Lytechinus pictus: one gene and its partners. The protein of the gene in region 4 purifies or fractionates together with the protein of the main gene of each other region. This does not show direct contact. Links are inferred from orthologs where the notes say so. Each region holds a gene or a part of one and is shown on either strand. Other genes may lie near its edges. The genes, in order: leupaxin-like, T-complex protein 1 subunit beta-like, multifunctional protein CAD-like and integrin-linked protein kinase-like.

Evidence for each region.
Region 1: the proteins of integrin-linked protein kinase-like (region 4) and leupaxin-like purify together in Homo sapiens (affinity purification with mass spectrometry; 4 studies listed by BioGRID and IntAct, with this or other methods). This does not show direct contact. The link is inferred for Lytechinus pictus from reciprocal best matches to the Homo sapiens genes ILK and PXN.
Region 2: the proteins of integrin-linked protein kinase-like (region 4) and T-complex protein 1 subunit beta-like purify together in Homo sapiens (affinity purification with mass spectrometry; 3 studies listed by BioGRID and IntAct, with this or other methods). This does not show direct contact. The link is inferred for Lytechinus pictus from reciprocal best matches to the Homo sapiens genes ILK and CCT2.
Region 3: the proteins of integrin-linked protein kinase-like (region 4) and multifunctional protein CAD-like purify together in Homo sapiens (affinity purification with mass spectrometry; 4 studies listed by BioGRID and IntAct, with this or other methods). This does not show direct contact. The link is inferred for Lytechinus pictus from reciprocal best matches to the Homo sapiens genes ILK and CAD.

The regions. Positions count from the first base shown.
Region 1 is NC_087246.1:21,756,153-21,763,878, forward strand, and holds the start of leupaxin-like, read right to left. Parts: upstream 3,005-7,726; 5' UTR 40-3,004; coding exon 18-39; intron 1-17. UniProt on the Homo sapiens protein: Cytoskeletal protein involved in actin-membrane attachment at sites of cell adhesion to the extracellular matrix (focal adhesion). Recruits other proteins such as TRIM15 to focal adhesion.
Region 2 is NC_087263.1:2,302,695-2,309,701, reverse strand, and holds the start of T-complex protein 1 subunit beta-like, read right to left. Parts: upstream 3,023-7,007; 5' UTR 2,936-3,022; coding exon 2,933-2,935; intron 1,323-2,932; coding exon 1,188-1,322; intron 398-1,187; coding exon 286-397; intron 1-285. UniProt on the Homo sapiens protein: Component of the chaperonin-containing T-complex (TRiC), a molecular chaperone complex that assists the folding of actin, tubulin and other proteins upon ATP hydrolysis.
Region 3 is NC_087261.1:11,653,399-11,661,374, reverse strand, and holds the start of multifunctional protein CAD-like, read left to right. Parts: upstream 1-4,975; 5' UTR 4,976-5,413; coding exon 5,414-5,498; intron 5,499-7,848; coding exon 7,849-7,976. UniProt on the Homo sapiens protein: Multifunctional protein that encodes the first 3 enzymatic activities of the de novo pyrimidine pathway: carbamoylphosphate synthetase (CPSase; EC 6.3.5.5), aspartate transcarbamylase (ATCase; EC 2.1.3.2) and dihydroorotase (DHOase; EC 3.5.2.3).
Region 4 is NW_026974140.1:15,264,813-15,272,312, forward strand, and holds the start of integrin-linked protein kinase-like, read right to left. Parts: upstream 3,020-7,500; 5' UTR 2,292-3,019; coding exon 2,203-2,291; intron 1-2,202. Other genes in the region: mitochondrial disaggregase-like, read left to right, coding at 3,250-3,523, 6,578-6,632, 7,009-7,095. UniProt on the Homo sapiens protein: Scaffold protein which mediates protein-protein interactions during a range of cellular events including focal adhesion assembly, cell adhesion and cell migration.

The DNA of each region.
Region 1 (7,726 bases), on a different chromosome or scaffold from region 4:
CCACACATGATCCTTACCCTCTAGGAGATATCCCAACATTTACAGCAAAATATTATATTCCAAATGAGAGATGGATAATCCCTGCTACATATTATGAAGACAAGAAATACATAAGCCTACATACAGTGTGAGCAATGTTTGGTGGCTGTGAAACGCAATGAGATGGATTTGAAAGAAATGTACCGAGATGACTTGGTTACCGCACGCACACGCAGCATCTGGTGGTGACCTCAGACCGGAGTATTAGTCATAACACAGAGAAAGCTCAGTGCAGAGGGGAGTGGAGTGGAGCAAGTGTGGGGTCTCACATGTGATAAGGCCTTTGCCCATATATGAGCATGCTCCCTGCCCCGCTGACTGCCTCTCACCATCACGGCAACGAGCATCCTTGTCAGCATCACTTGGCTGCATCCAATGGTCCCTCGTGTGTAAAAGCAACACATCTGCTCTCCTGTTCATGTCTACAGTATATGTGTCATACATGTAGGTGTGAGGGTAAAACTAAGGTTTCCCAGAAGAGTGTTGGGAAGAAGGGGTGGGGCAGGTGGGAAGGGCAGGGTGTGGATTTTTAGAAAGAGAGGGGTGGAAGGCAGGGAACCAATCAAAAAGAAGGGAAGAGGAGAGAAACAATGGAAGAAAGGAGGATGCAATAAGGGGGAACAGATGAGAATGGCAGAATGTCAATATTATTAGAAGGGAAGATAAATGACAGGAAGGAAGAGAGAGAGAGAATGGAAGAGAGAGCAGTGGTGAGTGACACAAACAGACAGAGGAGATGGGTGAAAATGAGAAAGGGGAGAAGATGGATTTTTTATCAATAGAGAATGCAGAAAGGAGGTGCAACGAGAGAAGAGGAGAAGGATGGGGCAATGGAGATGTCATTGACGAGAGAAATGTGCCGTGGAATATTCATCAGCATCAAGAGGAAACACATACTGTCCAAACATGAGTAAAGGTGAAGGACCTATACCATAAATTCATGGTGGCATCCTTAGTCGAGAGGAAATGGTAGACCAGGATACATTACAATATCTAAAATCAAACAATATTTCAACAAAAGGAAGTCATCATTTTCGTTGCAGGAAAGTGAAGGAGCAATACTTGTTAAAGTGAACACAGATTCAATAAGATTTTGAAGACGGACTACAAAAAATATCACATTCACATGGTTAGGGCTATATATTTTCATTTTCCACCATGCAATTCATCTACTATCCAAAACTGTTGGTGTCTATCGCAGGTACATGTAGGTCTAGACACTGGAATAAAAATCTGATCTTGTGTATGTTATGGTTCCATGACATTTGCTCCGACGACAATTGTTTTGATGGAAAATCTGCACGTTTAGCCAAACATAAAACCTACATGTAGCCTCCGAAACTATATAAATTCCAATCCTTTTCTTAACATTACTTTTAACCAAAAACTCTATAACATTTACAATCTTAACTCTAATCCCATGCCCTCTGAAATATTTAGAGTGTAGCAACTGCCACCGTACCTGTCTAGCTACATGTACATGTAGTTATACTGGATGAAATGTGTGTCGGTACAAAGCACTGCCAAGTATTAAAAGTACAACACTAAACCTTATACCCTCAAAACCAATTGAGATGACGGAATGCAGAAGAGGGAGGAAAGAATTAATAATGTAATGATTGAGGAGCGGCAATCAGAGAAGTTCTTAGCATTCTACAATGTACATCACATCTTGATAACACTGCAAAGTACGTTCACAAAATTGAAATAAATAGATTTATATTGCTAGAAATAGCGGGATGATATCGGGGCTGATGGAGATCAAAACTGAACATACCATTCTGTCTACAGGCCCTCCTCACATACTGACAGTCACATTTTCTGACAACACAAATGATACTCCCACACACTCACTGTCATGATCACTACAAACTGTGCCATGCATCATCTCCATCTGAGCTGAATATATTGTTTCCAGAATGTCATCTCATTAAAACAGGGATGAACTCCATCAATGATAGAACCTCTGTTTGCTCTCTCTATGGTAGAATCAGGGCCCCTATGGGCTGGTTTTTACACTTTTATCAATAATACTAATAAATGCAATCAATCATAGAAGTCAGCCCCACGACAAATTACATGTAAGCTATTAAAGGCCTAGTTTGGCTATAAACATGAAAGTATCCTAGGGATAAGAACCTTTTCTTTATAAAGTTATGTGTAACTTGAATATTAACTGCAACAGGGCAAAAAACATAATTCTTTTTTTCATATCATTTTTAACCGAATCATGTTGACATAAAGAATGTTAATTTGAGTTTATAATACAACTCACAAGCAATATACTGTATGTTAAAGCCAATTCGGCAGTGCCACAATTCAACACTAACTTGCAAGTTGGTCAAACAATCACTCAATCGCAATCGCTCGTTACATCTTACTCTTAGAACTAAGAAAACTCACTGGCTTTCAATACTTGAGTTTGATAAATTCGATCGCAACTCTTTGATAGAAAGGGCCCAGACCTTTTTTTTTTACTTTATAAGATAGATAGTAGAATTTAGAACCATTTGGAGGCAACAGGAGCGGGGGCAAAACCCCTTGTCCTGCCATCAACCTCTCCCAAAATATCAGCAACATTCCTTCATGTATATCACCTGATATTTGAAAGTGCAGAAAGGGATGTGAAATCCTTTTTAATCTTTTTCACTCATTGGCCCCCATCAATCACTGACATACTGTAAATAATGGCACCATTTCACCTCCGATGACACTTCTTTCCATGCAGGCTAGTGCAGAGTATGGAGGTACATACATGAACATGTAATATTACTTTTTGATATCCCAAATGTATATTCACAGCACTGTGCAATACAGTGTTTCTTGTAATCCAACAACCTGGGTTTGAAACCAACAAACCAAATCAATGCGCTACATGTTTGTAAAACCCCCTTGGATAATAGAATACCCAGTAAAATTATGTTCAAAAGAAATCAATCATCACTACCAAGTACATATGTAGGCCTAGATGTATAGTGGAGAAGAACACTGGAACAAAAGGATAAACAATTTGCTCATCAAAATTTTACCTTCTTCTATAGGCTAATGAAGGTATAGGCCTATACATTTTGCGCTATCTATTAGTGCATACCGGTACATGGTATCTCTAAAGAGCAAAATTTCCATTTCTTTTTCTTTATAATCACCATCCAGTATGAATTTGATGCACTGATTGATATTCCAAATAACACTCATGGGATTTGAAGCCGGTACTATCAAAAGATGATAATGAGGAGCCTGAACATGCATTACAAATTTGCAGTCATAGTCTACTCAAATAAATGTGGCCAATATGTGAATCTCTTCCAATACATGACTTTTCTGCATGACTGCTCATTAATGCACCAGTTACAAGTATATTGCCTGCTACTGTAGGTGACATTTCATGGAGATAAAAACATAAATGAACATGACATAGCCTACATGTACATGTATGTGAGTCATCACACACACCACTGAATATCAGGGGCGGTATTCTGAGGTCGTTTTATCTTTAAAATATTTTATTTTATCTCTTAAAATGAAATTGGTATTCTGAGATGACATTTTATCTCTCAGATAAAATTTAACATTTTATCATGCTTATAAATTTTATCTTGCGTATCTATGATGATACGCAACAGAGCAGTGGCTGCGTAGACATACCCATCGCGTATCTGGCCATTGCAAAGCGGGTAATGTGCTTGCGCCCAAGTTACTTTGAAGAAAAAATAAAATAACCTTAAAAGAGGGTAGGGGCTATTTTATCTCCGCGACGTTGATTTCGTCAATATTTCTAGGTGAATTAACTCCAACTGTTGGCATGAAATTTAAGAGAAATTATAGATTCATTGAGAACAACACCTTAAAGTTATTCCTGTACAATCAGGAAGCATTTCTTTTCTTGACTAATATTGTCTTTGAAATGATGCTTGAAAAGATGCGATATAGACATCGATAAAGAGATGAGAGTAATGCAATTTTAGTTAAAAAGAAATCTCTGTAAAGACGCGCAAGCGTATAGTGCAAGCGTATTGAAGTCAATAAATTGACGCAATCTCACTCCTTTGCCACACCTCCTAGCGGAATGGATTTCCATTGGTTGAGTGATATGAGAGAGCTATAAAAGCGCGTTTCTAATTGGATATTGATTAAAAAATAGGTGTGTCTTACAGAGATAAAATGAAGATAAAATTGTTCTCAGAATACCAATTCGGAGAGATTTTAAGGGTATTTTATCTCACTGATTTTAACGGAGGTAAAATATTTTATTTTAACTGAGATAAAATGGATCTCAGAATACCACCCCAGGGCTTTTCAGGCCTACATACAAATACATATGTACATGGACCCTCCTGACCGCTCCCATCTGCCCCACCCCAAAGCAAACTTTTTATCTTCTAAAAAAAGGATGTGCATGAGAGTGTAGACCTGGGGAAACTGTTTCCCGGCGAAGTTCGCCAGTGAAACAGCCAGTATGAAAGGTAACCGGAGAACTTCTCCTCTTTGATGACGTCAGAGGTCATTTTTTTCTCCCCGAAATCCCCTGAACTGAGATTCCGCGCGCTAGCTACATGTAGCTATTATTTCCGTGGATAAATGTAGAAGGCCAAGCTTTATGAGCGATTCAATAATTCCATAGAGTTAAATACCCTCGAACATACAGTTTGTTTTTTCACTAACGATATTCATTATAAAAGCATTATTTTACATGCTGGAAATGCGCTTAAAATATCAAAATACTTTGATTTTTTTTTGGTTTTGCTTCTAATATTTCTAGAATTGGTTGTAATTTATATTTTAACACCTTTTTGTAATCGGTAAGAAGCAATGTTTACAATTCATTTTATTTTTGTTCGTTCTAATTCTGCATGCACCTGCTGAGTGAGCTGATCAGCAGGAGCAGCTGAGAAGTGTTTACCTGCCGTCATCTCCAAAACTTCACTGTAAGAATTAATCAGGTGTCTGCAATTAATAAGAAAAGAGTAAAATAAAAATTCAAATTAAAAAAAGCGCACGCTTTCATTGACACCGGGTCTGCACTTACTTCCGCCCGAGCAAATTACCAATCGCCTTTCGCCGGGGAAGTGCAAAAGGGTACATATTTTTTCTTCGCCGGGGAAGTGAGGAATGCATGCCAGAGAAGTTCGCCGGGGAAAAATGAAGAGACCAGTCTGAAAGGAGTAATAGATTACTTGCACACTGAAGAAATAGGATCCACTGTATAAGAATGTTTTTGATAGACCTCAATTTATTAATTGGTGTCGTTCATTCGCTCTGAAGTCCTGAAGCACCTTTAGCATAAATAAAGATGGAAAGTTCACCACATGTACAGTACATAGGCCTAAATCTTAATATTGAATTATTAATCATTATTTTTTATACTATCTGTATCATTTAGCTTACATGTAGATTTATTTTCATGTCCGCCTAGTGAGGTTGATACTCATGAGGATCCTGCTATTTCTTCCACTCAAATAAGCTATCATTCACTGCTCTGGATAGGCAATAAATAATTTGCAGTCAATGTCAACAATGCCAAGAATGCCACATTTCCTGGAGCATCCAGATTAACCATAAGACCAGACAGACAGAAATAGTCTTTCAAAATGGACATTATCATTCTTCGCATGTGAAATTAATAAATTTGTAACATTTGAAGAGCTTTGCCACCCCCCCGGAAAAAAAATTGATTACCGGTAGCCTTGCAATGTCCCTCTCTTTGGCCCTAAATAGGCCTATACATGTACATGTATTTTTTTGCCTTTTTCATTTCCCCATTTGCGTTGTTAATATAAAATGTGCCCTTGCCCTAAAAATACAGAAATACAAAGTATCTGTAGCCTCGACCTAATTCCCCTTACATGGGACCTACATTGATTGATTGATAGTTTATTTTGCTTTTAAGAGTGTCATCTGCACCAATCAGCCACATTTTACATAAAACCAATTATATTACCTAGCACACAATTATTAACAAGTAAAATCAAAGTACAAAAAATAAAGACAAAATAACAAATGGGTCTGATTTGCTTTTGGTGTAGACTAATATTCAGAGAGAGGGATGCCCAGATGGGGATCAGTCACAACTTCTTCATTCTTTAGATCTTGACCTCATTCATACAGAGGTCCTTGGTGTCATCTAAGGTCAAACACCAAGCTGTTTGGCATTCCACTCTCTAAATAAACATGATATGCTAATGATACCACAAGTCCATCCTTCATTTAGTCTGCTTATTCAGACATTATTATAGTTCACGATACCACAAGGAGTACATGTAGGCATACTATCAAGACCAACATGTATATACCTTTGAAAGTAGTGCTGTTATCAATAACCTCTTTATCGCTAGTCTTGTTGATAAACGCATGTTTTTTGCCACTTAGCAAATAGCGATATCGATAACTTTTCTCTCATTGTCGATAATACCTGATATTATGTAGGGACATACAGTTCAAAATACAAATTTCTGAGACTGACAAAGAAAAATTGAGAAATCTCAAGAACAAGTGGAATGCCTAGTCTAGCAGATCATAAAACGGGTCTTTATACTTGAACAACATTCTGGTGATATTTCAAAAACTTATGCTTAGTTCTATAGATGTTGACTACACCACCAACCTCAGAAAAGCGGCGCCTACATGTACATGTATGTCTCACTTCTGCCAATGTATGCAGGCAAGACAAACATGAAAAGGTTGAAAACATATATGTATTTTAAGGCATACATGTACATGTACATGTAGGCCTAAAAACAGCCTATTTAAATTCAAAGAAGACTTTTATTTAAACAAAAAAAACAAAACAACTGTAATGTTAGATTCATAGACACTGGTTAAGGACTTGGACTTGATTTTTTTTACTCTTCCTACAATGGGATGCAGGACTTACATGTAGGCCTAAAAAGCTGACTGGAGTACCGGGGGGGGGGGTACTTCCATTGACAAATGGATACCATGCATGACCAAAAATACACGTAAAAAGGATCTCTTTTTCAAGATAGGGCTTATTACGTACGTAACGTGTCAAAAACAATAAAATAATGAAAAAAGGGTATATATTTTGCTAGGAAAACTTTGTGTTTACGGTCCAATTTGCGAGGGTATAAAAAGACTATAGGCCTACAACCTGTAGATGTACTTTTTGCCCCAACACTACGTGCTTAGGGTCCAAATCGAGCGAGGTGTGTGGGGTAGTACTCCCCCGCCCAATGAAAGTAAAAGGTATAAGCAGACGTCCATGATCATGTCCGTGACAAACAGTTATTACAGACATTGTTGTACTTGTTAAGGGGCTCAATTCAGGGTTCTTTTCAAGGGTATCATTTTGTTTCCAATACTTGTTAAAGGTAAATGCTAGTTTTGGTAACGATATCAAAATGAGTTCGTACAGAATCCAATGAAATGACCACCAAAGTGTCTGTTTGTATAAATAAAACGCATGTGCCAAAGGATTCTGGAAGAAATTGTGTAATTGCTGAGAAATCAGCAAATAAGCACAGGATTCGGGTAGAGCGTCGGGCCCGACGCTCAAAGCAATAATTATACACTGTCCCACGTGCGCTTATCTGTGTTGGGGAAGTTCAGTCTGAACATTTTTCAGCGTAGATTTCAAGATTTCACAACATTCAGTTTATGTAACTGTACCAGATCTAGATCCTCGATGATATACTGACAATTAAGCCTGGTTTTACAGACTTTCTCATGA
Region 2 (7,007 bases), on a different chromosome or scaffold from region 4:
TGATAATTTCAATTCAATTAAATTTATTCATTTAACCATCATCAGGTACAAACAATTACATAAATAGATACCAATATAAATAATTATTCAAATACTAAATATAACAATAGAATGATGGTTTGGTAACCCCAAAGAAAGCAGAGCTTATAAAAAGGGGCCACCAAGTTGAAATGTACACTGAAAATATACAATAAATAATGATAATTACACTAAGTACACTGATGTAACAGCCTAAGGAAAAACTAAACAAAACAATAAACATCAAATAACATCAATCCAACTTACCAACAAGGATCTTAGCAGCTGGATTATCCACTCCGATGGATTTCAGAATGGTGGCACCATCATTCGTGACAGTGAGTGGTGCTGTTGGGCTGTTACTCTGTAAGATCTTGTCCTGGGGATAAAAAGTACAATCGTCAAATTAGTTTGGTGCATCTCGAGGAAGCAAACCATTGACAATATCTATACTAATGATGCAATAAAAGTTCATCCCTTTCACAAAATCAAATGTTATAGAGAGTAAAAGACCACATTTATTTCACTATCCTGAGAGCAAAAAGCAATAGGTTTAGAAGACCAAATCTAACGTTCTGTGCTTCTATAAAAGTCGAAGAATATTTATGTACGAAAAGATAAAACATGATCGGCATAGTTGTTTTTCATCATTGTCCTGATTTTTTCCCCCCAATAATCCATCTGTTAGATCATTTTAAATTTTAAGAATACAAGGTGATCATCTTTAGAAAGAAATTCCTTTTTCCAAGCAGAACAGCTTACGGCCAGGGCTCCACACTAACCCTTTTTTTCTACTGGTCCAACCTGTTCATGTCGGACCAGTAGATACCCAATTTCTCCTTATTTTACTGGTCCGAACCTAAATATACTGGTCCCCCAAACTAAAGAACACCATAAACAAGAATAAGTTTATTTTGCTGTCATTTATTGCTTTTATTGCCCCCCCCCCCAAAAAAAAAATACAAACAAACAGTACACACAGCACAATTCATGAGAGCCATTTTTATAATTTACAAGAGGAGAAAATATAATTTGTATAAGCTTGAAATATTTTTTACTGGTCACGTCAGACCAGTAAATCTGGGTAATTCTGAAAAGTTACTGGCCCGACAGCAATTTTTACTGGTCTGGGACCGTCGGACCAGTGCCAGTGTCGCGCGCAGGCTTACCATTCCTTTGGGACCTAGTGTGCTCTTGATCAAGTCTCCAATGGCGATGGCGCCAATGAAAGATGACATACGAGCAAGCTCTGCTTTCTCCTCCTCCGCATTATGCTTTAGAATCTGAACAGGTTGAAGGGATACCTATGACAAACAATAAGAAGTGGAAATTAAACATGCAAAAATTTCTTAAATCATGTTGTCTCTCTACTGATAAAAAAAATTTCCATGTTGACAATGCTCAATGTAAATACATTGGGTACGAAAATACATTAATAAAAAAAAAAAAAAAAAATATATATATATATATATATATATATATATATATTATTAATGCCATTTAACTTGAATTTATGAAAGAACCTAAAGCAAGGTTTACATGTAAAAGAAAATTGATGCTGATATTAAGCTGGTTTAGCAGGGGAAAAAAGAAAAAGTATCACTACAAAGCCTGGCTTGGCAATAAACCATTTATTTTGAAGAACACCAGATGCATAGTTATATTAATGGAATGAGTGAATACAGCAGTTTTTCCATTTTTCAATTTCCCCCTCCCCTTATTTCATTCACTTTTATCAATATCCCTCCTTTTTTCTCTTTTTTCCCTCCTCCCTCCCTATTTTCGTCTTTTTTCTCTTTTTTGCGCTGCCAATACAGTGGGGAGCTGGGGGCGGACCCTTTGACCCCCGCCTGGATTATTTAGGCTAATCGCCACGCACAAAAAAATCAAGCCATAGAAGTCACGTGTTGTGGACGCTAGAAGTGGGGTCGCAGCATGCGTGACCCACTAGTAAGAAATCCACTGCCAAACGCGGTTCATGGTGCGAGGTTAGCAATAGTATACTAATACTAACCTCGCACAAATTATTCCATTTTATCTTTATTATTCCATGTTACATCTGAAGGTCAAACATCAATTTGGTATCCTGCCCCCCCCCCCCCGAGTTTAAGGTAAATTTGATGCCGCTTCATTTCAGGTCAATTTGGCACCCCAAAGGTCGAACTCAAACATGAATTTGCCCCCCCCCCCCACTTCCCGGCTTTTTAATTACTTTTTTTCCTCTCTCCCCTTTTTTCTCCTTTCTCCCCTTCCCTCTTTTTCCTCTACCCTCTCTTTTTTCCCCCTTTTGTCTCTTACTCTTCATGTCTTTTTACTATTTTTCTCTCCCTTTTCTTGTCCTCTCTTTCCTTCCCCCTTTTCAGCGCTCTCCCCTCCCTTTACATAGTACATGCATGATTGCTTGCCTTGCAGTTGAAACAACAACAGCACACACACTCATGACACTTTCTTTGTGTTCACTGGACTGTCCAGCCTCCAGGCGTTTCTCTAAATCTGCATCATTTTCATTCTCTGTCTCTGACCAAATCAAGAATGAAGAAAGCAGCACCGGGAATCCGGGATTGCCAAAAGATTTTAGGACAACAAAAAATACTGAATTCACCACTTAATTTTCGTAATTGAGATAGATCTAATAGTTATCCTTATTTACTATCAAAGTATAATTAGAAAAGTTAAGATTGGGAGCGCTCAGGCTCAGCCTCATCCATAACGAAATCATCATTTTGGGGAAAATACACAAAAATCAATAGGCGGGATCAGGGTAATTTGCGGTTGCCAAGCAATTATAACCGGCGGACACTTCATGTAATTAAAAACATTGTATGACAATCATGCATAAAATAAAATCCATCTAATGGATAAGCACTAAATTCATATTTAACGATAATGATATATAAACAGTGAATATGCATACCATTTTGAAGAATTAGGGTGTGTTTCGAGTGAATTTTCGATCTCTTTTTTAGCACGAGGAACTGTAAAATTTTCAACACCAGAGGGCGACGTGCGTTGAAATTTAGGCTCGGTAGAACCGTCTCGAACATTTTGTAAAAGGCCCTACATAATATATAGTTACCGGTAATATAAAAACAAAATTGATTCCCACATAGGCCTATGCCTTAATCAATAATCAAACCAAACTAGATCCGACGCTGGATGGATCAATGTGAGTTTAAAACATAAACTAAACTAACTAAACTAATATACAAAAAAATACAATTGATATACGCGACGCTTCCCAGAAGGAAAAACCAGTTCCACTGGACCAGTTAGACCAGTAGAATTTTAACTGATAACTCTGGAAATTGGAACATCGATTTTCTGGTCTAACTGGTCCAGTATACTGGTCTTGTTACTGGTCTCACTGGTCTTCATACTGGTATCCAATTCAAGCTGGTCTTTACTGGTATTTTCTACTGGTGTGACTGGTCCTCGAACTGGTCGTACTGGTCCTCGTACTGGTCTTACTGGTTCAATTTATTACATGCATTTGGTTTGTTATATACCATGGTCAGTGAAATGTGATGGAAAAGATGGTTAGTAAATTAATATTTCTGCTGTTATTTTAAATGTGATATATGAAATTACACATTTTCATTGTGAATTAGTTCACACACTTATTTAGAAAGTTTTTAAACAATAATGAGTGCCATTGCATGCAAGGATATTTTATTCTAAATCCTGATTTTTCTTTAAAAAATAGGAAATATGCAAATGAGGTAATCCACGTGATCAGTTTCATCAGAATTACTGGTATTGCTGGTCTTGACCAGTTCAATTTCAAACAATGAATTACTTTAGACCAGTTGACTATATATCAGAGGAATATATCTTGCTTTGATCTTGATCATAATTATTTTAATGATAATGTTAATACTTGATAATTATGATAATATTAATAATACAATGATAACAGTAATAAGAATGATAACAACAATGATCATAATAATCATAATAATAATAATGATAATGATAATTATACATAATGGTTAGTCGCGTGCATTTGAGTGTCCGAAAGTCCCCACACACAGCTTCAACACAGGGAACAGTGGTTTTCATAAACGTAATATTGCAGAAATCCGGGTATATCTTTATAACTATTAATAATCTCACACCAGATTGATAATAGTGTGAAAATTGTATCCAATTCCATTAATTCGATGTAAATATTATTACAATTAATACACTATTAACGTCTCGCTGTTCATTTGAAAGTGTCCATGTTCACAACTTTTGTTATGGCAAACGGTTTAAAACCATCCATATTTTCGAGACGCTGGCACCTTTGTTTTCCCCCTGGAATTTATTTATTTATTTATTTATTTATTTATTTTGTTTTATTTATTTTATACTGCAGGGTAGGCCTGTTCAGTTCTTAAAACTGCTTTACAAAGGCGCCCTGCAGTTTAAAATAAATGTCAAGATAACTATGAACAACAACAAACAACATCAAAAATACAAAAATACAAAATATCTAACATCAGAAACAATTAACACCAAAATATAGAGTGGGAAGTGACAATTTAAACATACATAGCATTGTAAATCAAAGAAATATCATTTCGCCCTTTATCAATTCGTATGAAAGGCTTTGCATAATTTTTTAAAAACTAACAAGGAGGTACAAACTTGTAAATTTGAAGGAAGTGCATTAAATAATTTGGGTCCGACATATGCGAAAGATTTTCTTTTATGTTCAATTCTAGCTTTGGGAAGCTGAAGGGGGCATCGTAAAGAATACCGTGTCCTGTATTTCACGGGCCGTTTACATACTAAAGGTTTTAAATAATTTGGAACTAAATTATTCATTATTTTATATACAAGAACACAATACTGATATTTTATACGCTGATCTACTGATTGCCACTTCAGTGACTGCAACAAAGAAATTTGTGATGTATTATAATCTTTTTTCAAAAGCATTCTGGCATATTTATTTTGAAGTTTTTGTATCTTATCTAAATGTATTTTTGCACTGCTTCCCCAAGATGTAATACAGTAATCAATGTAAGGTAAAACCATAGAAAAGTACAGCTTCTTCATAATATCAAAGGACAGTAAGTGCTTAATCCGCCTTACACAACCTATTGCCCGAGATATTTTACAAACGATATTAGTAATATGTTCGCACCAAGTCAAGCCCGGATCGAGCATGACACCTAAGTATTTAATCTTTTTTACATTTTCTAATTGTATGTTCCTGAATTTCACTGACAAATGAGCACCCCTCAACTTTTTCTTTTGACCAAATACCATGGCTTTTGTTTTTTGCGGGTGTAAATGCATATTATTTAAGTCTAGCCATTTACTTATTGAATCAAAATCATCTTGCAAATACTTTTGTACCTCCTTAATTGATTCACCGTGATTAAAAATGGCGGTATCATCAGCATAAAGAGACATTTTAGAATGTACATGCAATTTCAAATTACACATGTCATTAATAAAAATACAAAATATCAATGGACCCAGTATAGATCCCTGTGGGACACCTGATATATATCCTTGAGGGTCAGAAAGGTCGAGATTGATTGTCATCTCAATGCTAAATAGATTACCTACAGTTTGATGTCTAATACTTTATGACTGAAATAATGGTTACATCTCATTTTTTCCCCAAACTTTGAGATCAAGCAGGCAGAACATGGCATATTTCTGTGTACAACGTCACGTGACTAACGTATGATAGTTTCCGTTCCTAGATCCTTTTCATTTGAAACAATAATTAATACAGTCCAAACAAACTTAATTTACGCATTTAATGTTGAAAGTATCAATGTTCTTGTATTATAAAGCTATGCCTACTTATATTTATAATATAGCTACAGTTTGAGGAGCAAATATCGAGTCCAGAATTGATTTTGATTTGCAAAAGGGTCTGCGTAAGTATACTATATACGAGCAGGCTAGCATCGTCTGCTACGTAAACCAAATGAGCGAACATGACCGAAATTAACCATTATGAGAAGAATGATGATAACAATGATAAATGATAACGAAAAAAACTTTTTCTGAATTGCAAGATTCATTTTCCATAATTCGTCAAATGATCTGATTTGAAATAAAGTCATTATTTATTGGACCAGTAACACCAGTTTGATGAAAAACAATATAACTGGTATTACTACTTTGCTTCAACTGGAATGCAATTGTTTGAACTGGTCTCCAGTTGATTTTTACTGGTCCAATTAAAAATCAACTGGTCCAGTAAACATATATACTGGAAACCAGTAAAAATCTACTGGAAACCATTTTATTGGACCAGTAACACCAGTTTGATGAAAAACAATTTAACTGGTATTACTACTTTGTTTTAACTGGAATGCAATTGTTGGAACTGGTCTCCAGTTGATTTTTACTGGTCCAGTTAAAAATCAACTGGCCCAGTAAAAATATACTGGAAACCAGTAAAAAAAAATTTACTGGTCTTACTGGTTTTTCCTTCTGGGTTGTATAGGCGGATCCCGGCAGATCCATGAGGGCTGCGAATAGCCCCCCCCCCCCATTAGTCTCGGCCAAAAAAAAATGGAGAGGGAGAAAAGACCTCACACTGCCCATTCGATGATATCCATTACAATGCGCTAAGTAAACTATAGGGGAAGGCGGGGTAAGTTGAGCATAGGGGCAAGTTGAGCCACCAGCCCCATGCAGGCCAATAATGAATGAGTACATTATGGTGGTGTCATGTATTGATGACCCATTGCATTACCCCTAACCCCACCACATTGTTTTCAACTTTGAAACAAAAGTTACTTTTTTAGAGGAAAAAATACAAATTTCAGCCAAAAAAGTAAAAATAGGGTGTGAAATAGATAAGTGTTTTTTACCCACACACGTATTTAAAGGTCAAGTCCACCCTAGAAAACTGTTGATTTGAATCGATAGAGAAAAATCAAACAAACATAACGCTGCGAATTTTATCGGTTACACTTCGTAATTCTGAAGGTTCGTAATTCCGAAACACGTAAATTGCCTATACCTCGATGTTC
Region 3 (7,976 bases), on a different chromosome or scaffold from region 4:
AGACTGGTGCACCTGTGTGGATGAAAGAGAAAGGAAAAACAAGGGTGATGGCAGATGAAAGGGAAGGACAAAGAGAAAGGAAGAGAGAGAGAAAGAGAGAGGTTGGGTCCTGAGCGCTCAATTTGGGCTTACTCTATAAGATGCGAGAATGTGCTTTTTTAGCTTGATTTTAAAGCAGTTGAGACTAACGGAGTTAATGATGTCGTGACTGAGTGTATTCCAGTATTTAGGACCGTAAAAGGAAATTGTTTTTTGTGCAAGTAGAGTGCGGGTACGGAGAAGGTGAAAACGGAGGGATTGTCTTGTTGGGTAATTGTGAATGGCGATATTTTTTGTAAACATGTTAATTAATATGTTTGGCAGTTCGTTTAAATTCAATTTGTACATGAATTGCCCTGTTTAAAAAAGAAATAGATCTGGAAGTTTTAAAACATTCGACTTGTAAAATAAATTGTTAGTATGAGAACGAGGAGGAGCATTATGTATAATTCTTATAATGTTCTTTTAGATGAAAATTTTGTCTGTAAGATATTTGTTGGCTTTACCCCATGTCATTATTCCATAATTCAGATACGGAAGTATTAAGGAGGAATATAATGTAAAAAGGGTTGATTTTGGAAAAAAAGTGTCTTAGTTTATTCATTACACCAATATTCCTGAATATAGTTTTGGATATATTTTGAATATGAATGTTCCATTTCAATTCATCGTCAATCATGAGACCTAAGAATTTGGTTGAAGAGACCCTATTTAGAGGAGTGTCGTCCAAAAGGATGTCTCCACGTAGATTTTGCAAAGTATTACTAAATAACATAAAGTTTGTCTTTAGGATTTAAGGGATTGTTAGCTTTAACCTATTCAACTATACGTGTCTCAGTTCAAGATTTATAGTAAATAGTGTATTTTGGTTCGCATGAGAATAAAATAAAACGTATTAACCTTACCCATGCATTTCAGGTCGAAATATGAAATAAAATTTCAGCTCGCGCTTTGCGCTCGCTATATTATAATTGTTCATTTAATTGTTTATTTACTTACAATCATAACTATGATTACCAAAAGTAAATAGGATGTTGTGTTTTAAGGTCTTATTTTTTTTTTTTGAATTTGTGAAAAGGTGCTTATGGTCCTTCTTCGGATCAGTATAGGACTATCAGATATTTCATCTTGCACTTTGCGCTCGTATAGTTACACAGATTGTTCTTAATTCAAAAACGTGTTCAGATTAGCATACAAATTATTCAGGAAGATACAAATTTTAGTCTGCTGTGCAAACCCTTCACTTGAGTTTTGAGTTAAGGGTCTGAATGTGTATCCTACTCATGCCTTGTGTACTGAAGGAAACGGCAAGTTTTGTATGTATATAGTCTTTGCGTGGAGACACGTACACTTGTTGATCAAAGCTTTCAGGGTATGCGCCTGCACCTATCATTTTCAAGATTACAAAAAGTATTTAGAATGTTCCGTTTTTAGGTCTTGGAAAAAAAATCAACTCGCGCTTCGCTATGATTGTATAATATATTACCAAAAGCGATATAAGAATGTCTTGTTTCAAGGTCTAAATCACCAAATAAAAGCTTAGCTTGCTACGTACGCGCTTGTTTTCAGGTCAGTATCTATCTATCTATCTCTATATATCTATCTATCTATATACATAATCATTGGCGGCGGAAGTAAACAAAATAAGGGGGGATCACCAAAAATTTTGACAAGCAAAAAAGGTCATCAACGAAAATTTTAGGGGGAGGCCGACAAAAAAATATGACAAGTAAAAAAAAAAAAAAAAAGGTCATCAACGAAAATTTTTTGGGGGGTCGTCCCGCCACCTCAAATTTAGAGGGGGACACGTCCCCCGTCCCCCCCCCCCCCGCTTCCGCCGCCTATGTACATAAATATATACACACACACACACGCGTGCGCTCGCATCATTAATTTTAGGCCTTATCAGACATCTAATCTTGTTTGCAAGAAAAAAACAAACTAAGATGTACTTACAATTTCGGACTTTAGTGGGAACTACCCCCAACGGACGTACCATTAGATACCCTGGGGGGGGGGGGGGTTAGTAGAAGTTTGGGTTGATGCGATTTTTCCCCCTTTCTTCTTTGAGCAAAGTTATTTTTTTCCTTACTCTATTGAGGCATTTTTTGGAGGGCACCTTTCAGATGTTTGGCAGTGGACCAAGTTGTTTTTACTCTGATCAGATGGTGAGTCAAGTTTTTTTTTTTGAAAAACTTCCATCGCCCCCCTGGATATCTAATGGTGCGTCCCTAAACAAAAATTAAAAAGAAGAAAAAAAAAATCAGCTTTCAATCACTGGCGAATGGGAAAAATGTGAGTGAAAATGTGTTTCCACCCCCCCCCCCCTTAATTGCTTCCGCCGCCAATGGTATAGGGGCCCGTAAAAATTAAACTATTGAGGAATCTTTTCTCGTGAAAATGATTTCCGCATGATTTCGCATAGGGCCTACTGACATTATGTCATTTTTTTGGCAAATTGAATATGATAAACTTTAAAATGGGGGACTTTGAATTATTCAAAATTTATGGGGGCAACTAAGAAAGGGCTTTCAATTGATAAATTAAATGGATCGAAGAAGAAGAATTAAAGTTAGTCGACCATGGAGGTGATGTGTACATTTTCCCCGTCATTCAATAGGGCCTACATGATATATGTGTTGATCTCGCGCAGTGTTTCCACAGATCCAAAACAAATTTCCCGAAATCTCATATTTCCTGAAAAAAGTAGACATTTCCTGGAATTTTAAAATTCTATCTTTTTTAAGGAAAAGGGACAATAACAAAGCGTGTCTAAACTTGGTCCAAGTGACCAAAATCAAGGAATTTAAACTTTTTTGTTGAATGCACTTTTTCAAATAACAAAATTACAAAATGCGAGCGCAGAGCGCTAGCGGGGCGCAGAGCGCGAGCAGAATTTTTTAAAGGAAATATCCTTCAAACCCGGGGGGCCACTTACATTGACGAGTGGATACCATGCGCGACCAAAAAAACACGTAAAAAGGATGTCTTTTTCAAGATAGGGCACGTTACGTACGTAACGTGATAAGGGTGTCAAAAACACAAAAATATTGAAAAAAGGGTATCTATTTAGCCCGAAAAAATATACGTGTTTAGGGTCAAATGTGCGGGGATGATAAAACAAAATCAAAATGTTTTATAAAGGATGTCCTTTTTGCCCCAACACTACGTGTTTATATAGAGTCCGATTTGCGCGAGGTGTGGAAGATGGGGCCGTACTTAACCAAAATAATGGTGTCTAAAGGTAAAACCGACGACCGACGGACGCGTGACATAAAAATAAAATATATCTGTACTTGTTTAGGCTGGGTTCACATAGAAGTATACTATTCTGGTATACGGTGCACGTTTTCGAGGGCACGCGAATAGCTTGAATCGAACAATAGGATTTCCTAATACCGCGGGGTCACATGAGAGGGCACTATACGAAAATGCCGTATAGTTGCGTATAGTATAGTATAGTGGGAATCGTACTTGTTCGATTTTCGTGCAGCGTATACAGACGTGGCAGGTGGTGTTCTGAATTTCCCTATAATATTTCTGTGTGCGTTGGTTAAATGAGGAAAGTTCAAATGAAATGATTTCTTGGTACTCTTTTTATTGGAATTTCTTAGCACATGCCGTCATATTTAAGTTACCCAGCACTTCAGAGTTTATCTCATGCACATGCTGTATTATTTATGTGGGCTCTGCATTTTTCGTTCTGTCTTTTTTGACATTGAAATGACTGAAGATACAAGGTCAAAAAGGTCCGCAGCGAAGGCTACTTGACCTATGTTGCTGTGTATCGCTGAGTCATGTTTAATTAATTACTTAATTATTCTTATAATAAGTCGATAATAATGTGGAAATATATTTAATTCAAGAAAATATTGTTTATAAAATGATTTATTTATTATTTCACTTTTGCTATGATTTCACAAAGCTGGAATGGGGGAGTAGAATCAAGCCCCCCCCCCTAAAAATGACGTCATCAAAGCAAAAATAGGAATGATTGATATAATCAATTAGGCTGATACAGGTTTGAAATCTTAAAATATAAATTTGGAAACATAGCTACAGTATTTCCAATAACATTCCTCAACCCCCCCCCCCCCCTCCCCCAAAATAAAATTTTAGTTTTTAGTGTGTAAAATCATATGGCTCAAATAAACCCATCTCGACGGACTGGCTGAACTAACCCCATTAAAAAAAAATCATTAAAAGTTGTATTAAATAGAAGTTTAATAATTTGCAGAGGTGACAAAAGTCTGCTTGAAGTTAGTCCAAAACAAGCTTATTTTCGAATCTTAGTAAGTTATATGTAGAAAAAATATGATTTCTTTCCTTTTTTTTAGAAATTAATTTCATATGTACCTCCTCAGGCTCGGCCAGTAGGTAAAGAGCCAAATCTTCTTCGTCTGAAGTATTCATTTTGAATATTAAAGTAGGACACGCGTGCTACCTTTATGTGACCCGCCATGCCCGTATAGCGAATAGCGAATAGAGAATACCGTATACCGTATACTTCTATGTGAACCCAGCCCTAGGGGTTCATTTCAGGGAATACTTGCTAAGAGTATCGTTTTGTTTCCAATACTTGTTAAGGGGTGCATTTTCAGAATATGGAAAATACATCGCTGTACTTGTTTAGGGGCTCAGTTCTGGGAATACTTGCCAATAGTATTTGTTTCCAATACTTGTTAAGGGTAGGCATTCACACGCCAATTATACTTGTTAAGGGGTGCATTTTCAGAATATGGAAAATACGTGTTTAGGGTGCTTCTCAAGACCCCGTGGTCGCGCATGGTATCCACTCGTCAATGGAAGTGCCCCCCCCCCCCCCGGGCCTTCAAACTGGAAAGTGGAAACACTGAGCTCGCCGCGTGCATGCAGTACACATCAGGCGAGCTAACCGCCGCGCGCCCCGTACGCTCGCGCGCGCTGCTTGAAAATCATAATGGCAGCTCGTCAACTGCTGCCGTCTCATTCTTTGACGAACATCCCGCTTATTCCGGAATCTTTTCATTTTTCGACATTGTTTGATACGTTGATGTACTGAAATTCACCGCCTTGGAAGTAACTCAATCGGTACTCCATCCATGGTATGAATGTCTTGTAGCGTTTGGTCATCCTAAGGGAAATAATTCACATTGATTCAGAATTGAAACTCGTCGCCGAACTGTGTCTGTGACTGAGGAGCCCACGTGTTGTGTGAAGACGAACTTGTCATCCGGAAGGAAGCGCGCCCGCGGGAAAGTTTGAATAGGTGCATTGAGCGTGCATGATCATCATAGACCGATTGCAACGTACCGGTAATCAGCTGTCCGCTAGCCGAAACTCTCCCGTCAGTCAAAGCCGACTTTGGTGAAGTTGTCATTACGTGCAATTCAGGATGTCAGCCACCCTTTGCTTAGCAGATGGCACCCAGTATTCGGGGAAGTTATTTGGAGCTAACTGCAGTGTTTCTGGAGAAGTTGGTAAGAAACTAGAAGAAAGTATTTATTTTAACATTTATTATTTTCATTTTCAATGAGTGTCAATTATAACAATTAACAACTCTAACTTAATTAATCTGATTCTGACTCAGCTCAGCTAGCATTAACTTTAAATTAGAGTAAATAACAAACAGTGAGTTTCAGTTACACCTAGCCAGGCGGCTTCTACTAGAGAGTAAAAATCATTTACTAACGTAAGGTTACTCTCATACGAAGCCAGGCATTCCCCCCCATTCATCTGCGTGTACATAACTACATGTACCGCAAAAAACCCTGAAACTTTCGCCCCCGAGATTTCTACTTTCCTTCTAAAAGATCTAGCTCTAAATCATGTAAATGGGATAAAACTTCATTTCTGACATTTCTACGCTCTCGTTGTTATTTGTAAAACAAGAATTCATCAAAAAAATGAAAAAATATTGTGAAAAGACGGAAGAGATTTGCCCGATGTTTACGCCGCCATCTTATTTCTTATTGTACGTTACGCGACGCTCGCGTCCGTAACGTTGGGGAAAAACGAAAAGTTCTCTCCTTCTACCCCCGTTTCGATCGGCCATTTTTGTTAAAAATCGTAACAAAATGGCCGATCAAGACTGGGGTAGAGGAGAGAACTTTTCGTTTTTTTGAGGTTCCAGTCTGTGCCCAGATGTCAGGAAACTGCCACTCGTTAGACCTTCATCCATATAATCGTGGTAATTGTATACTTTCTGTTTTCACAATTCATTTGGAGAAATATTTAGACCATAAATCACCCTAGTCCGGTGACTATGGTCAAATACACGGTAAGCTCCTGGGCTCCCTGGGTTAGAGTTTCATATGCACCCCCACTAAAATTGAAATTAAGACATGGAGAAGGATCAGAATAATATATCTAGCCCTAATATAGAACATATATGATGGGGGAGTGGAAATACATACCAAAATGTGGCTTTATTCTGTCAAATTTCGAGCAGGATCTTGTGCGTGTAATTGTCCATAGAGTAGACATCGCTTTATTTAGTCAGTAAATTAAGGGTCTGTGAGTCTAGACTAGTCGAACTATCGGCTGATAATCGTTAAAATACCCCTTCCGGTAGTGAGAAGAGGTCTTGACTGCAGATACATGTAAAATGTGGTGAGTTTGAGTCCCAACTTGTCTTAGGTAAGCAACAGTAAAAAATGATAGAAAAATCAGAAGTGAACGAACCGGAAGTCTCGACAATCTTGTTATTTTTGGTGGGGGTGCATATGGAACTCTTTCCCACAGATCATGTGACATGTCTTGACTCTTGCCCCAGCTTGCATTGGCAATCCCATTGCCCAGTTTGTTTTGACTTTTGAATTTGAGTGAGTGACTCGCCATGACGTCTTGGGCCGTCCTACTTCGCAGGGATGATACTTTTCATATTAAACTTAAGTTAAAGTCTGAATTCGATCAGCATGATTATTAGACTCTTTCCACATGTTTTTGGTCATGAAATACATGTAGATCATCTAGACTAAAAGGGTCATCATATTTTACTATTTCTAGATGATTTTCAGACTTTTTTTTATTAATCAGGCCTGAGGCCTGACTGGCGTCGATGGCCTTTTTTTTTAGTTAATCAGACCTGAGGCCTGAATGGCATCAATGGCCTTTTTTTTAGTCAATTAGACCTGAGGCCTGAATGGCATCAATGGCCCGGCCCAGCTGGGGCTGGGAACAATTTTGTTAAGCAAAAAATAAAAAATAAAGGTCATATTTGGTTACATTTCTGCTATTTATCATGCCTACCAGATTTCCAGGGGGTGCTGCCTACTGTATGGTGAATAACACGCAGCACCACAGGTTCGGGGGGGGGGGGGTTGGAGGAGCTAGGGTGTGGAGAAACTTCTGAAGATACTCATTAAGCAAGGGAGCAAAGGTAGTAACTTGGTCATGGGGCGCCTTTGCATTTGGTTAAGTGTAATGAAAGGATTTTGTGCACACATTTGATGAATTTTGTGACAAAAAATTATGTAAAAATAACAAGTTGGGCGTATTCCAAAGTTCTGAGGGGCAACCACACCCTTCTCCCTCCACTGTGTTCAGCCATGACAATCAAACAGAGTAAGCAATACCGGTAACTGTATATTGTTAACAAGTCTGGCAAACTATTTCCCACTGGATGGTGAACCTAGATCTTTTTTAAAATGTGATAATATTCATTCCTCATGTTCTAGTAATCTTCAACAACCGACTCATTTTTGTGAAATTCTAGACCACAAGTTAGTTTTGGAAATACAAGAAAGATTTGTACATGTATATGTTTATGCTGCGCTGCTGCCAGTACCATCTTTGTCATGGTGTTTCTGCTCTTTTTCTTTTTTTCAGTTTTCCAGACTGGTATGGTTGGCTACCCAGAATCCTTGACAGATCCTTCCTACAAGTACCAGATCCTGATCCTGACCTACCCTCTCATCGGAAACTATGGCATCCCGGCCAACGACAAGGATGAGTTT
Region 4 (7,500 bases):
TCGGCAATATTTTTAATCATTTTTTCTGCTATTTTTACAATAAACTTTTTGTCAGGGTGGACTTCCCCTTTAAAACAAATATCCAAGATGGCAAACTTCTTTATGACAGAACATGTGTTTTCTCCATGCTTATTTAATGTGGAAAAACTGTCGAGCAATGTCCCCATTTTTAAAACACATAGGCCTGAATTTACAAAGGTGGTTTCATTTAAAACCATGGTTTTAGAAACCGTGGGTTTTAGAAACCATGGTTTTTGCAAAAACCACTTTTGTGAATTTGGGCCATACATTGTACATGTAGAGTACCAAATGTTCTGGTATTTTAGAAGTGAACATGTAATGTGCTACAATGCAGCATTTGAAGAGGACTTGATCAACTTGACAGTCTTTAAACAAATTCTTTGAGATTGATTTTCATGGTAGACACAGAGGTCATACATGTAGCATGAAATTAAAAAAAAAAGCACAGAAGCAATAATGCCTTTCCAAAATGATTGCAATCATGCATCTATATTCTATTGTAATATGAATATGCTCAAATCAGCTATTGAGAGGCACTGGAAAAATCATCCACTAGAATTTTTACCCTACCATTATCATAGACTATCCAACTTAATGAGGGGCAAATAAGCTACATTACATCCAAGTAAGTATATCTGGCATCCAGTCATGAAGAGGGTACAGTTTACTCGCAACAGTGCCCAAGAGAAAATGTACTTTGCAAGGATAAGTTACAAATCTACTCAATATTTTTCTTCTTGTAAAATGTTTAATTGACCTGGCAATACAACGTCTTGTTTGCTTTCAAACATTCATGTTGATCATGTTACACTAGCCTAGGTATAAAGCTCTCTCAAACAAAATGAACTTAACCATGCCTGTTACGTTAGAATGTATCATGGTATCTAATGGTAATTTTAATAGAATCCTTAGACCATAGAGCTATTAACAGCTCCATGTTTATCATTGGCTGTTGAGCCCTTTTCCTAGATGTATGGATGACAAATTTATCATACAGTACATACATGTACAGTACTAAGAATTTTCAAGAACACGGAGCAGGACAAAGAGTAGGTACTACAAAAATCTCAGACAAAGTCAGAGTCTCTGAAGTGTACATGTACGTATATTTTCATGGTATGTACATGTACATGTACATGGGGTCCAGTCAGAGGATGTTACCACTTGTTGCAATCTTTGTAAAATTTAAACTTTTATTACACTAAAATGGAAGACATTCCTTCACTATATCAAGATACCATCATGTAGCATTCTTCATATTTTTTATGCAAACAAGTGAAACACTCTCTAGATCTGCCCTAACTACATGTAGATATCTTAGATTAAAAAATAAGTCTCTGATAAAATAAAACCAATTTAGCCCAATCGTTTTTTTATGATCATGTCTTTAATATAAAGATTGAAAAGAATTTCCCCCTTTTTTTACTATGGCACACTTACTTATAAAAAATAAAGGCCCTCTATTTCTTAAAATACAGTCTTGGGTTTAAATACACAAACCTTTTCTTTCTGAAAAAAAAGTAAGCCCTGAACAAAGGAAAATCATCAATGAAATTCCATTTACAAAGTTATTATGTTCACATCTAGAAGATGAGACACAAAAAAATTTAGAAAAATATTGCATTGATCCATTATTAATGTACCGGTATGTAGGTCAAGAGCAAAATTTGTTGATAGTGCCAGAACTTGTATAACTTTGTAATTGTGATCCAGACAATTTTTATGAAGTTTGGTTGACAAGAATCAATGTAAATCAGTGACATAAAAAATTTACAGGCAATAATATAGACAAAGAAAAATAAAACATTAGCATTTGGCATCTGTAAAGATTATAAATGCAATATTGAAAACTTGAACAGATTTGAGATAGAAATAACAAGAAAACAGTAAAAATAAACAAAACTTTAAGATGATCATCAAGATAACAATTGTGCTGATGGTATTCAGAATTGATGATTACAATATGTTAACAAATGACAAGACAATGGGATATTGTTGATGATGGTACTTGGTAGATAGCTGATGTTGGATCGATAATGGGGACAATGATGCCATTGATGATGAAAGATGTTGATTCATGACATTGACCCTGATTTTAACGCTGACCTGAATTAATTTAACAATTTAACAAAATAGCAGTTCAATTTTTCTGGTTAACTTTTCTACACTAATTGTTCTTACCCTTGGTTTGGATCATTTTCAACCTTGTCCAACCAAACTCTGATGTGCACTGCATTCCCATCACGGATTTGTGAAAAAATATCATCCATTGCTGTATCAGCTCTAATAAAAGTTCCTGTGAGAGTCCTCTTGATGTCGAAGCAAGTCCATCGACTGTTCAAACAAAGTTTGAAATTCCTGTACAATTAGTCACTTGAATATCAATGTATTTATTAATTCAAGTGAATCATAATCCATTCCTATTGATATGCTTCACTGCTTTGCAGAGTGCAGATTATCGATGAGAAGCAGATAATTTGAAAAGAAAGAAGTGAAGAACGTATTATTTTCTCCACAAAGTCATGTTGACAATCCTCATAACATGAGATATGATGATGATCATACCCTGCAAATGAAAAGTTCACTGACTATCAGTATCAACTCAAGTGATGATGGATGAAAATCCAGTGACAATTACTTTAGATTCAGTTTCAATTGCGTTTGGTCCACAAATTTGAAAATCCAGTCCGAAAAGTTAAATGTGATTTCAATCAAGGAATGACAATTATTATTAAGTTTCTGTGTTGAAGTGAGTCTGACTAAGTCAGTGTCATCCAAAAATAATGCAATGTTGATCCTCTCATCAAATCACACAAACTGCTGTAGAGACCCCCGCCAAATTTGACACATCAAGTAGCAGAAAGGTCACGCACTCGAGGTAAAAACGTCTTTGGTGCAGTCAGTCGGCTATATTGCATCGGAGCTCGGAGCGACATTCACGGGCCACTCCTCCACTCATTTCTGAAGAGACTCCGATAATGGATGACCTCACGCCCACGGGGTCAAGATTCCTTGCATTCCTAATTAGGTTGCGGAATGTTTACATACAGAAAGATTGATATTTTTCTTCATTTTTTATGCCGTTATTAATAAAAATTACTTTTTGTTGATTTTAAATTAAAATTTTTAATAATTTTTCATATTTTAAAAATCTTATTAACAATATTATAGTTCTACAACAATATTTTCTAAGAACTAATCAGTGCTTTACAAACTCAACATTTCAAGATGGCAGCCTCCATCGTTTCCACGAATGTGATGAAATTACGTCTATTTCTTTTTAGTTTACGGCAAATAAGTATCGAAAAGAATGAAATTTCACAGTTCATTATTTCGAGAAGAACTCCCACACTTAGATGTTGTCTTAACGTAAGGAACTTCTATGGAAACAGGCAGATTTATCGTTTAATTTCCACTTGGCGTGTCCGGACTGCGGGAGTAGGGGCCACTGCTGCGATTGCCCTCGGGGCAGTAGCGGCGTGTGCTGAGTCCGCCGAAACGGGTGAGTTAAATGAAGGTTGTTCTGCGGCCCCGCCAGCGCCAGGCCATGTGCCCATCCCATCTCTCCCAAACAAAACCGGGCCAGGCCTGGGGATCAGGAGTTTCAAAAGAGGTTCATCTTCATAGGCTTCATGACTCTCTGGCTCTGTCGCCCTTAGTTAGACCAAAAGCTTCGGTCTCTGTTATGTTGGTTGTTCAGCTAAACTCTGTTGTCTTCACTCACCAAATACAGAGACCGAAGTTCTAGCGCGATCTGTACAGGGGACTCAATGGCCATATGTTTATGTGTATTAAGTTCGGATAAAACAGGGCAGTGAAGTTGCGCGACAGCCGAGGTAAGTTACTGTTTTTGTTCCTTTTAACTTGATTTTCCCCGTTTTTTGGCAATTAATGCCAAGAGGGAATATTAATTTGCATTTTGGTCGCATTAATTTTCAAAAGTTTGATTCATATTTAAACTTTAAAGACAAAAATTGAAGAGCCCCGACGGGGGGATTTTGCATTGTAAGTCCCCTAATGGTGGCTGCACGATAGCGAGCCGTCTGTGTATGAGGAGAAATTTAAAAAATAAACAAATGTTTAAAAACTCCTCGAAACAGACGGCTGCCAGCTGTCTATGTCGCCCTGAGCCTGAGGCCTGAAATCTGAATGGGTTTTAATTAATTTAATATTTAAATTTAAGACAGAAAATCAGAAACAATCCTTTTTTGGGGAAAGTTTGATGAAAATCCATCAACAATGAAAAGAATTAGTAAATAACGAACAGATGAAGAACTTAGAAGAGTTATTAATTGTTCTTTTTTTTTCAATTTGTGATATCGTGTGCAATTAGATTCCCCATATTTGTCAATGATGAATACAATTTTTTTTAATTGAAGGGGAATGAAACCTTTGTAATAAATAGGCTTGTGTGGAAACAGAAAAATCAAAGAATAAGAACAAAGAAAGTTTGAGAAAAATCTGACAAATAATGAGAAAGTTATGAGCATTTGAATATTGCAATCACTAATGCTAATTGCTATTGAGATCCTCCTATTGGCAATGCAACAAGCAAGTGTGATGTCACATAACTTTCCCTTTGATGGACTATAAAATACCCCTAAAATTTATCTTTTTGCTTTTTCTTATGGTGATACAAACTCTTTATCCATTATGTATTCTTTAAAAGTCTGTATTACATGCCCTCATATAGAAAGAATATATGCTCTACTGATAGATGTGAAAAAAGAGGCAGTTTAACTGAAATATATACTAAAGTAATGCCTAATGGGGAGAGTAGTTCACAAGTGACATCACAAATCTTTGTCGCATTGCCAATATGAGGATCTCCATAGCATTAGTGATTGCAATATTCAAATGCTCATAACTTTCTCATTATTTTTCGAAAAAATCAATCAAACCTTGAGGGGGTGCTGGCGTGCCGCCCAAAAAACGATTTGGGGCAAAAAGATTGTTGACCCCCAACCCATTTTCGTCAAAATTGTATATCTTGGCTTTTTTTGTGTCAATTTCTTTGTTATTTTGGACAAGGAATTCATTTTTAACAATAAAAAGATGTAAAAATGCTGTCTTTGCCCTAAAATTTAATCCTTACTTAATTTGGAGGGGGTCAAGTTGACCCCCTTTTGACGAATTTGTCACTTCGCAACTGCAAGAAATTTTTTACCTCGTCACTCAGTGACTTTTTACTTTCAAGCCTTGCACATCTTCTGAGACCAAATTTGTGATGCCCAGGTACGTGGTTCCAAAATACATGTAACACAACATTTTGTAAGTGCATGTCAGACCCAAAATTGCCCGAAAACGTGACTCCGTGTACAAAGTCAATGCAGATTGGGTAACACTATTTGCATTGACTCTGTACATAGAATCACGTTTTTGAGCAATCTATCCGATATGTATCATCAATGTAAGTTCTATACAATATAATGTAGAAATAAAACATTCCTAGGTATGAATGAAATTCATAAGAAGGAAGAAGAGAACTTCCGGTGAAAGTTTTCCAAGTAATTATGACGATGGTCAAACATCATACATATGTACTACCGGTCAGTTAGATTTCTTGGGAATATCCCTGAAAGAAAAGCCTTATGCCAATAAAAGGAGAAGAACCAGGATGAATGGGCTAGAATTGTAAACTTTGACCCAGCCAAGACGTCAGACATTTCCCAGAGTCTTGTTTCCCACTCCTTCCGGTGGAAGTGGTAGTAAAATATCTTAACCAATCAAATTCAAGGGACAAAGTGAGTGACTAGGTATTTAATGGCCAATGATATTTAGAGGGCCATATACTTCATAATACTTTCTAAGAATATTAGAGTTCCACAATTGGCATAAAATTATTATAAATAAAGCTAGAATGTGAGTCTAAATCAGAAGCTGCTGATTGTTCAACAGAGATACTACTGGTTAGAGATACTGCACAAAAGTATTAACAAGTTTTCATCTGAATACTGTATTCAGCCCTCGGTGAATACAACAACTTACAAGGTGTTGTTAGGACAATCTGATAGTCCGGATCTTGGGATTCCACATTGACAAACTTGGAATCGTTATAAATCAGTAAACACTAACGAGAAGTTGGTGTTTAGGATTTATGATCTGTAACTGAATCATTGGTCTAAGTCTGTCCAGAGACAGGAGCTGACATCAGACAGATTGTCATCGTCAGGACGCTCAAGTAAAGAAACCAAGAATCAGCGATGAAGAAGAAATAACTAAGCAACATCATTAATCATTGAATTGTATAAAGCTGTTAATATCTATATACTTAGTTTATAACCTGTAATCTTTGTTAGAATAGTTTACTATAATAAAGGTTTTCTAAAACCTAATTATTTTTGTGATTGGTATTCTGTTAACAAGTTTTCAAAAGTATGTCGGTACGTGGAACATACACTGCAGTCAAAAGATCCCAGCCACAAGGTAGGCCCAAATCTACCCTGTGACAATGTATAATTCTGAAAAAATTACAATTTATTCAATTTACATTGCATGGCACATTATGGATCTACTTGAATGTGACATCACAATGGTAATTTCTTCTTTATTACAGTGAAAGCAAGATGGTTCTATGCATCAAGAAAGGATGATGTAGATGAAATATTGAGGTAAGCTCATTTGATTTACTTTGAGTCAAAGAAAAAAAATAATATGTTGTTATGACAATGACATAATTTAAAACCAATAAAACATAGATATGTTTAAGTCATCAATTGTTTTAGGAAGAAGATCTTGTCAAAACGATGACATTTGAAGCCTGAATAAAGTTTTTGTAAATATTAGACAATATGGATTGCATTGTTTTATTGAATCAAAGCCAACAACATTTTAGTGACCTTGTTCCCTTTTTTTCACCATGGATTACTTATAAAAATTGCTTATTCTCACTCATGTTTGTCTCTCCTCTGTCTATCTATCCCCTCTTTTCCTATACTACCTCCCTTTCACTCCCTTCCAACAACTCTCTTTCACAAATACATGTAGATTACTAAGGTCTGGGTTCAATGTGAATGAGAGGCATCAACTTGGATGGACAGCTTTGCATGTAGCAGCTGTCAACAAGAATCAAAAGTAAGACCAAAGACTCATATTCTAAAGGTGTATAGCGACAAAACCTTTTTTTTTTCAGGAAATGACCATCTTATTGTGAAAATTTAGAATGATTGTAGTAGTGTACTTCCTATTCTTTATAGTCACCTAATTTACATTTGATGAATGAGACATGGTTCCCTTTAAAGAGGAAGAAGTTTATTTTGCATCAGAGGTATATCTGCATTGTAGACCTTGTAGTTGTTTTCTTTCCTTGATTTTCTGATTGTCCATATACTTGTAATAAATCAGGAACATTCATTATGCACTGCTTACATTGAGTCCACTGTTAATAAAACATTATACTTCCTTTGAATAGTCAGCTATATCATTGATTGATTCTTGAGAATGTGTTCCTGGTATTCTCTTAGAATATTTCTTTCCACC